Callithrix jacchus: one gene and its partner. The protein of the gene in region 1 purifies or fractionates together with the protein of each later gene. This does not show direct contact. Links are inferred from orthologs where the notes say so. Each region holds a gene or a part of one and is shown on either strand. Other genes may lie near its edges. The genes, in order: ZC3HC1 and CUL1.

What was found.
Region 2: the proteins of ZC3HC1 (region 1) and CUL1 purify together in Homo sapiens (affinity purification with western blotting; 3 studies listed by BioGRID, with this or other methods). This does not show direct contact. The link is inferred for Callithrix jacchus from reciprocal best matches to the Homo sapiens genes ZC3HC1 and CUL1.

What each region holds. Positions count from the first base shown.
Region 1 is NC_133512.1:117,183,335-117,187,154, forward strand, and holds part of ZC3HC1 (zinc finger C3HC-type protein 1), read left to right. Parts: intron 1-316; coding exon 317-560; intron 561-1,143; coding exon 1,144-1,356; intron 1,357-2,289; coding exon 2,290-2,496; intron 2,497-3,820. UniProt on the Homo sapiens protein: Required for proper positioning of a substantial amount of TPR at the nuclear basket (NB) through interaction with TPR.
Region 2 is NC_133512.1:98,959,286-98,963,105, reverse strand, and holds part of CUL1 (cullin-1), read left to right. Parts: intron 1-533; coding exon 534-697; intron 698-3,820. UniProt on the Homo sapiens protein: Core component of multiple cullin-RING-based SCF (SKP1-CUL1-F-box protein) E3 ubiquitin-protein ligase complexes, which mediate the ubiquitination of proteins involved in cell cycle progression, signal transduction and transcription.

The DNA of each region.
Region 1 (3,820 bases):
ATTAAGGAATGTTTTTCATGTAAAGGGAAAAGGTTTAAGGAGGGACAGGAGAAATTTTTAAAACATGCCTGCAAAACAGTCTCACCATAGAGAGCACACTAAGAACCCCAGGTCCTTCTATGGGAAATACATGAGAGATGATGAAGCATGAAGCTGGGGTCCTGAGATTGGAACACAAAGGCTCTGACAGGACATGGTTCCCGTCCACTGGACTGTTCCAGAAATTGGATGAGATGAAACATACTCACAAGACATTACACTTAGTCATTTGGAAATATGACACTTTGAGAAAACTCTCTTTTTCATTTCTGTCTAGTTCCTCTTTGGAACCCATGCAGCTCTGCCTGATAACATGTTCGCAGTGTATGAGGAAGGTGGGGCTCTGGGGCTTCCAGCAGATTGAGTCGTCCATAGCTGATCTGGACACATCATTTGGCCTGACCAGCTCCCCTATCCCAGGGCTTGAGGGGCGGCCAGAGCGCTTCCCTCTGGTGCCTGAATCTCCTCGGAGGATGATGACCCGGAGCCAGGATGCCACTTTCTCCCCAGGCTCAGAGCAGGTATGCACTTAGCTTGTTTGGGGTGGACTTTTTTTTTTTAACTGTCTTCTGAAGTGAATGAATTGAACTGGGGTGGACTTTGAAACAACATTCTTGGCAAAAATGTTGTTGCTAGAAAGTTGGAAATTAATTTAGGGAGATAGGCTTCACTTTGCACTACACTGGTTACAATGCCACGTGGTGTTTCTGTTCACTAATGGAGAAGCTAAATTCAGCCAGATGTGGTGGCTCATGGTGTAATCCCAGCACTTTAGGAGGCTGAAGCAGGCGGACCACTTGAGGTCAGGAGTTTGAGACCACACTGGCCAGTATGGTGAAACCCCATCTCTATGAAAAATACAGAAATTAGCCAGGCATGATGTGGGGCCTGTAGTCCCAGCCCTTGGTAGACTGAGGCAGGAGAATCACTTAAACCTGGGAGGCAGAGGTTGCAGTGAGCAGAAATCACCCCGCTGCACTCCAGCCTTGGTGACAGAGCAAGACTCTGTCTCAAAAAAAAAAAAAAAAGATTAAATAAAGAAGTATCTCTGACCATGATCATTAATATCATTTTCGTACTTCCATTATCTCCCCTTTCCTTCAGGCTGAAAAGAGCCCTGGTCCCATTGTCTCTCGAACTCGGAGCTGGGACTCCTCCAGTCCTGTTGACCGTCCTGAGCCAGAGGCTGCTAGCCCCACCACCAGAACCCGCCCAGTGACCCGAAGCATGGGAACAGGAGACACCCCTGGCCTGGAGGTACCATCTAGCCCTCTTCGGAAGGCCAAGCGAGCTCGCCTCTGCTCCTCCAGCAGTTCGGTGAGTCCACCTCGCATCTAGCAGTGGCTGAACATAGACAGCATGTTGGGATTTCCCTGGGCAGCTTGGAGAAGCAGGCATGAGCCCTTCCATGGTCCAGTGCAAAAAGTAGACCATGTGACTAAGTTTAAAGTTGGGTGACCAAAGGGAAAAAATGTCAGTCATTTGCTCCTTTGGGGTAGCTTCTGGAGAAATAATAGATATCTCAGGCAAATGGAGCAGCAGTGTGATACGGGGACAAACCTGATAAGGCAGTGGTCTCCAACCTTTTTGGCACCAGGGACCGTTTTTGTGAAGACCATTTTTCCACGTACCGGAGTTTAGAGGATGGTTTGGGGATGATACAAGCACATTACATGTATTGTGTACTTTTTATGTAATGAAATAGTTATACAACTCACCATAATATAGAATCAGTGGAAACCCTGAGCTTGTTTTCCTGCAACTAGATGATCTCCTCTGGGGTTGATGGGAGACAGTGACAGATCATCAGGTGTCAGACTCTCATAAGGAGCCAGCAGCCTAGATCCCTCAAGTGTGCAATTCACAGTAGGGTTCCTGCTCCTATGAGAATCTAATGCCGCTGCTGATCTGACAGGAGGTGGAGCTTAGGCAGTAATAAAGGATGCGGAGTGGCTGTAAATACAGATGAAGCTTTCCTTGCCTGGCTGCTGCTCACCTCCTGCTGTATGGCCTGGTCCCCGTCCATGGCCTGGGGGTGGGGTATCCCCTATCCCTTGTGATAAGGTATAGTTTGTTTAACACGAAAGGAGTGAAAAAATAAGGAAAATATCTTGGCAGAGTTTAAAGGAGAGCATAAACACTTGAAGTATGGGTAGTTGTGAGATTCTGGATTTGATGACTAATAGCAGTGCCTCCCTGAACTTACATAGCATCTGCCCATGAATGCTATTTCTTTTTCTCCTTCCTCAGGACACATCTTCCCGAAGCTTCTTTGATCCCACCTCTCAGCATAGAGACTGGTGCCCTTGGGTGAATATCACACTTGACAAAGAAGGCAGGGAGAATGGTGGAACTGAACCAGATGCTAGCGCCCCAGCAGAGCCAGGCTGGAAGACAGTGCTGACCATCCTGTTGGCCCACAAACAGTCTAGCCAGCCAGCTGAAACAGACTCTGTGGTGAGATAAGCTATTACCTTGTGCGTGGACAGCCCTTGCTGTTTATGGGAGGAGGAGCAGAGGCTGGTCCTATAATTAGCACCCTGCCTGCCCTCAGCTTTCATATGTCAAGTTATTTCAGTTTTTTTGTTTGTTTGTTTGTGAGACGGAGTTTTGCTCTTACTGCCCAGGCTGGCATGCACTGACGTGATCTCTATCACTGCAACCTCTGCCTCCTGGGTTCAAGTGAGTCTCCCGCCTCAGCCTCCCAAGTAGCTGGGACTACAGGCACCACACCCAGCTAATTTTTTTTTTCCTTTTTTTTCTTTTTCCTACAAACTACACAAAGACGTTTTTGTTTTTTTGAGACGGAGTTTTGCTCTTTTGCCCAGGCTAGAGTACAGTGGCACAATCTCAGCTGACTACAACCTCCACCTTCTGGTTCCAAGCGATTCTCTTGCATTAGCCTCCTGACTAGCTGGGATTACAGGTGCCCGTCACCATGCCCAGCTAATTTTTGTATTTTTAGTAGAGATGGGGTTTCACCGTGTTGTCCAGGCTGTTCTCAAACTTCTGACCTCATGATCCACCGACCTCAGCCTCCTAAAGTGCTGGGATTACAGGCGTGAGCCACTGTGCCCGGCTAATAGGTCAAGTTAGACTCATTTTGCTTTCATCCTTGGGAATAGGCGTAGAACTGGTTTGTCTTTCTGCACTTTAGCATATGGCATTCCATCAAGTTCTGATAAATTCTTTTGTTCTCTTAAATAAAATGACTCCAAGTAGAAAAGGAGTACAGAAACAGAAATAGATGAATAGGCAGCTGCTCCAGCCTCATGTTGCAGACAGTTGCTTTTTCTTTCAGTTGCCATCACTTGCACCTGGCCAGTTAACTTAGCTGTTTGGAGCACTGGACTCTGTCACCAAGATGATGGCTTCATTCTGCACGCTGGCCACATTACTTTACTCTGTTCCACAGCCCAGACTGTGACTCTACTAGCCATTGCAGCCATGACTGCTGTGGGTTACAAATGTGGGTGTCGACTGAGAAGAAAAGTCAAGTGTTTGCTGTGTGTAAAGATTGGAAGTGATAGGCTGGGCAATATGGAACCCTAAACACTGGGTCTCTCCTTGGCTGGCTCACTCCCAGCTTTTCCTTGTAGCTGGTAACAATTGCTGACCTCTATAACTTTCAAGGACAAAGTAAAATAATGCTTGTCATCAGATATTTATGAGCAGCATTTGTAGATTCATGGTTTTCTAGGGTTACAGGATTCCACTGGAGGAAACTATAGTAATGCTAAAAGTCCAAAAGTATGTATTAGTACGCTTAGTAAATATACAG
Region 2 (3,820 bases), about 18 Mb from region 1:
TTTTACTCATAAAAGCTGTTTGATCCGTGTGCCTTAAGGAAATTTTGATGAAATAGACATTTTAATTATTTTCTTTTCTGGTCTCAGTGAATTCACTGGATATGTTAGAGTGTCAATAATTGAGCTCAATGATAACCAGAAATCTATATCAGCTTGAAAAATTGAGATTGAGAAACTGATGAAGTAATACAATGTCTTAAAAACTTGGGTAGCATTGTATTTCTTTGCAAATTTAAAATTATTTTTATTGCTTTTGGAAGTATAAAAGTTCTCTAAAGGAACTTCATCATGATTTTGAAGCATACCTGGCCATGGGTCAGAATTACTTGCTTTTTATACATCTTGGATTTTTTTCCTTTTTTATTTTATTAAAATAGTGTATTTTAATACTAGTGAGTAAGAGTTACTTATGTCCTGCCATTTCACATTTACCTTTTAAACATATCTTAAACTGAATGCTACACCTAAGTATATTCTGTGAAATATAACCAAAAAAATAGGGTAATTGAAATATAGCTCATATTCGTTTCTAGTGGAATTGGGGCTGAATGAAGATGATGCATTTGCAAAGGGCCCTACGTTAACAGTGTATAAAGAATCCTTTGAATCTCAATTTTTGGCTGACACAGAGAGATTTTATACCAGAGAGAGTACTGAATTCTTGCAGCAGAACCCAGTTACTGAATATATGAAAAAGGTAAGCTTAAATATAGTACTTTAAGTAGACTTAAGTTAAAATCATTGCAACTCAAGTGAATTCTTTTTAGCACATAGAGCTTTCTTTACAAGTCATTTGTTGGGCATTGTTTTCCTAGAGTGTCTTTATCAGGTGCAAGTGCTTCTCCTAATTCTCCAGGAGAAATTGGTAATCATGACTAAGAGTTCTCATTGCTGTTCTAAAGATGTAGCCATAATAGCTATAGGACTTTTTTTTAACTGTTTCTCCTAGAATGTGGATTTATATAATGGACATCACAATCATGTCAATGAGAAAATTTTAAGAAACAAATGTTCTCAGATTTGCAAACTTGAAGTTTTTGCTTTTTTGCTTCTAAAATGCCCCTAAGAATCTATTACATAGCTTTCAGGATTATATAGAGGAGAGGTTCTTCTGCAAGTAGGATTTAAATTCTAATATGAGAGGGTATTCTCCCACTTCAGCCTCCAGAAGTAATGGGACTCAGCTAATTGTTTTTTTTGTTGTTGTTGTTGTGTTGTGGTTTTTTTTTTTTTTTTTGTAGATAGGATCTTGCTATGTTGCCCAGGCTGGTCTCAAACTCTTGGGCTCAAGTGATCCTCCTACCTCAGCCTCCCAGAGTGCTGGGATTACAGATGTGAGTCACCACGCCCAGCTGATAATCAAGATCTAGTGGAATTGCTCTTTGTTTCTCTTTCTTAGAAACATAGATGTCTGGATTTAGGCTCTAAGGAATGACCTAGGTCTGGAGTCAGAGTCAGCAAACTTATCCTGTAAAGGACCGGATAGGAAATACTTTAGGCTTTGTGAGCTATGTGATCTCTTTTGCAGCAGTTCAGCTCTGCCATTGCAGCACTAAAGCAGCCAGTGGGATATGTCCACAAATGAGTGTGGCTGGGTTCCAGTAAAACTTAATTTACAGAAAAAGGCAGGCAGCATTTGGCCTACAGGCTATAGTTTGCTGACCCTTGAGCTAGCTGTGGTAGGACAGCGGTCCCCAACCCTTTTGGCACCACAGACGGCAGGGGAGCGGGGTGTGGAGAAAAGGGGGATGGTTTTGGGAGGAAACTCTTCCACCTCAGATCAAAGGAGCATGCACACAGATCCCTCGCATGTGCAGCTCACAATAGGGTTCGAACTCCTATGAGAATCTAATGCTGCCCCTGATCTGATGGGAGGCAGAGCTTAGGTGTAATGCTCACTCATCTGCTGATCACCTCCTGTTGTGCGGCTTGGTTCCTAACAGGCCACAGACCCATACTGGCCCACAGCCCAGGGGTTGAGGACCCTTACACTAGGAGATCTCCAGGGAATCTGGATCTTTCCAAGCATGACACCTGCTTCCCCTTTATTCCCTGTTTACTTGGAGCATAAATGGACTGCGGAATCCCTTTTCCAAATGCTGAGATGGAAAGTCAATTAAAAGTAACAACTCTGCTCTAACCTCATAGAGAAAGTCATATCTGGCTTGTTTGTGGTGACCTGAATACATTTTCCTATGGGAGATAGTGGTTATAAATGGGCTTAGAAGTTGGAAGTTGAAAGTCCTTGACAAATTTCTGATATCTCAAAATCTAACAAAAATGGAACTATTCAGAGTATTATACTTGGAATATTAATAGTTCCTTGTGTATAATGCTGGGCCAAATTGACTTTTGTATGCTGATCTGGAACCTAACCAGCTCACCCAGAGTTTCAAACAACTGCCTAACAAATGAACTTTTGAAACATCGTCTGTTTTGAATGTTAGCATTGCCTGTTATTTCATTGTTTAATATGACAGTGCTGTTTGCCTAAACATACCTCTTTATTAAACTCTGCTATATATGGTGATTCTTTAGAAACTAGATGTCCCTAAAGACCTCTTATCTAAATGCACATCCACGACAGTGGTACCTATTCTTTTTGAACAGGGTTTATTAGAGAATTGTGGTCATCTCCTTTTGTCCACCGTGATGAATTAGCAGTGGGCTAGGGCAAGGAAACGAGTGTTTTAGGGCAGAGCTACACAAGCACTCCCAGAACAGGTAAATCTGTTTTTAAAACCAGGCCTGACACCAAAGACAGTTGAGGAGCAGGGATTTCCAGTGGCCTGGATGCTTTCAATCTAGCATGAGCCCTGTCTTCAAGGAAGCAGTGTGCTTCCTATATCCTGGTTCCCATAGAGGGGATTCATTTCTAGAGGAGTTAAAGGTTTGGCCCAAATCCACTTAGATCTCACCAAACATGACTTCCATCACATTCTGAAAATTGATAATGCAGAGTCTTTAAGCATAAAATTGGCATTTGACCATGTAATTCTGCTCTCATCCTATAGCCTTGCATCTCAGACTGAGCTATGAGTCCAGTTTTAAATCCCCACCCTGCCACTTACTAGGGGGATGACCTTAAGGCTTCTCTTCCTCAATTTCCCTATCTGCAAAATGAGAATAATAATAGGTAATAGTGAAGATTAAGTGGGCTTTAGTATTTAAAAAGTTTAACATGAGATATTTATTAGTAAAAAGGTGCTTAGAGTAGTGTGTGGCAAAGAGCAAGGCTGATATATTTGGTATTACAAATATGTGTCCCACAGAACCTCCAGTGTATGCCTGGGAGGATGTAAAACCACAGGATAAAGGGTGGCAAATCTTAGTAACTTAGGGAGCATTTATGTTTACATCAAAACAAACATTCTATTAGGAAGTAGAACAGTATTGAGATAAAACATGACCCTTGAAAATATTCTGCAAATTTTAGCCAGTTCAAATTCCCTGGGTCTGTGTTCACTTTTCTCTATTAGGAGTTTTAGTGGAAACATTTGAGAATGTTTGGCTTGTGTTTCCATGGATGGCTTTGAAGAGTGAACCACCTTAGTGTTTCTAAAATATTTTACTGTCTCATGTGATTGAGACTGATCTGAGCTACAGAAACTGTACGACTACTCTAGGTTTCTAATGTCATTTTTTTTTAACTTTAAAAATACACCATAGTTGATTAATTTGCTTGTCTTTTTTGGTTTTTATTTTCCTTTTGTTTTTATTGAGAACCAATCCTAGTTAAATTAGTAAAGACAGTCTTCAATTGCATGCTTTTATGTAGTCATTGGAATTTGACCTTGGTGTTCTAATACAACAGTCTGCC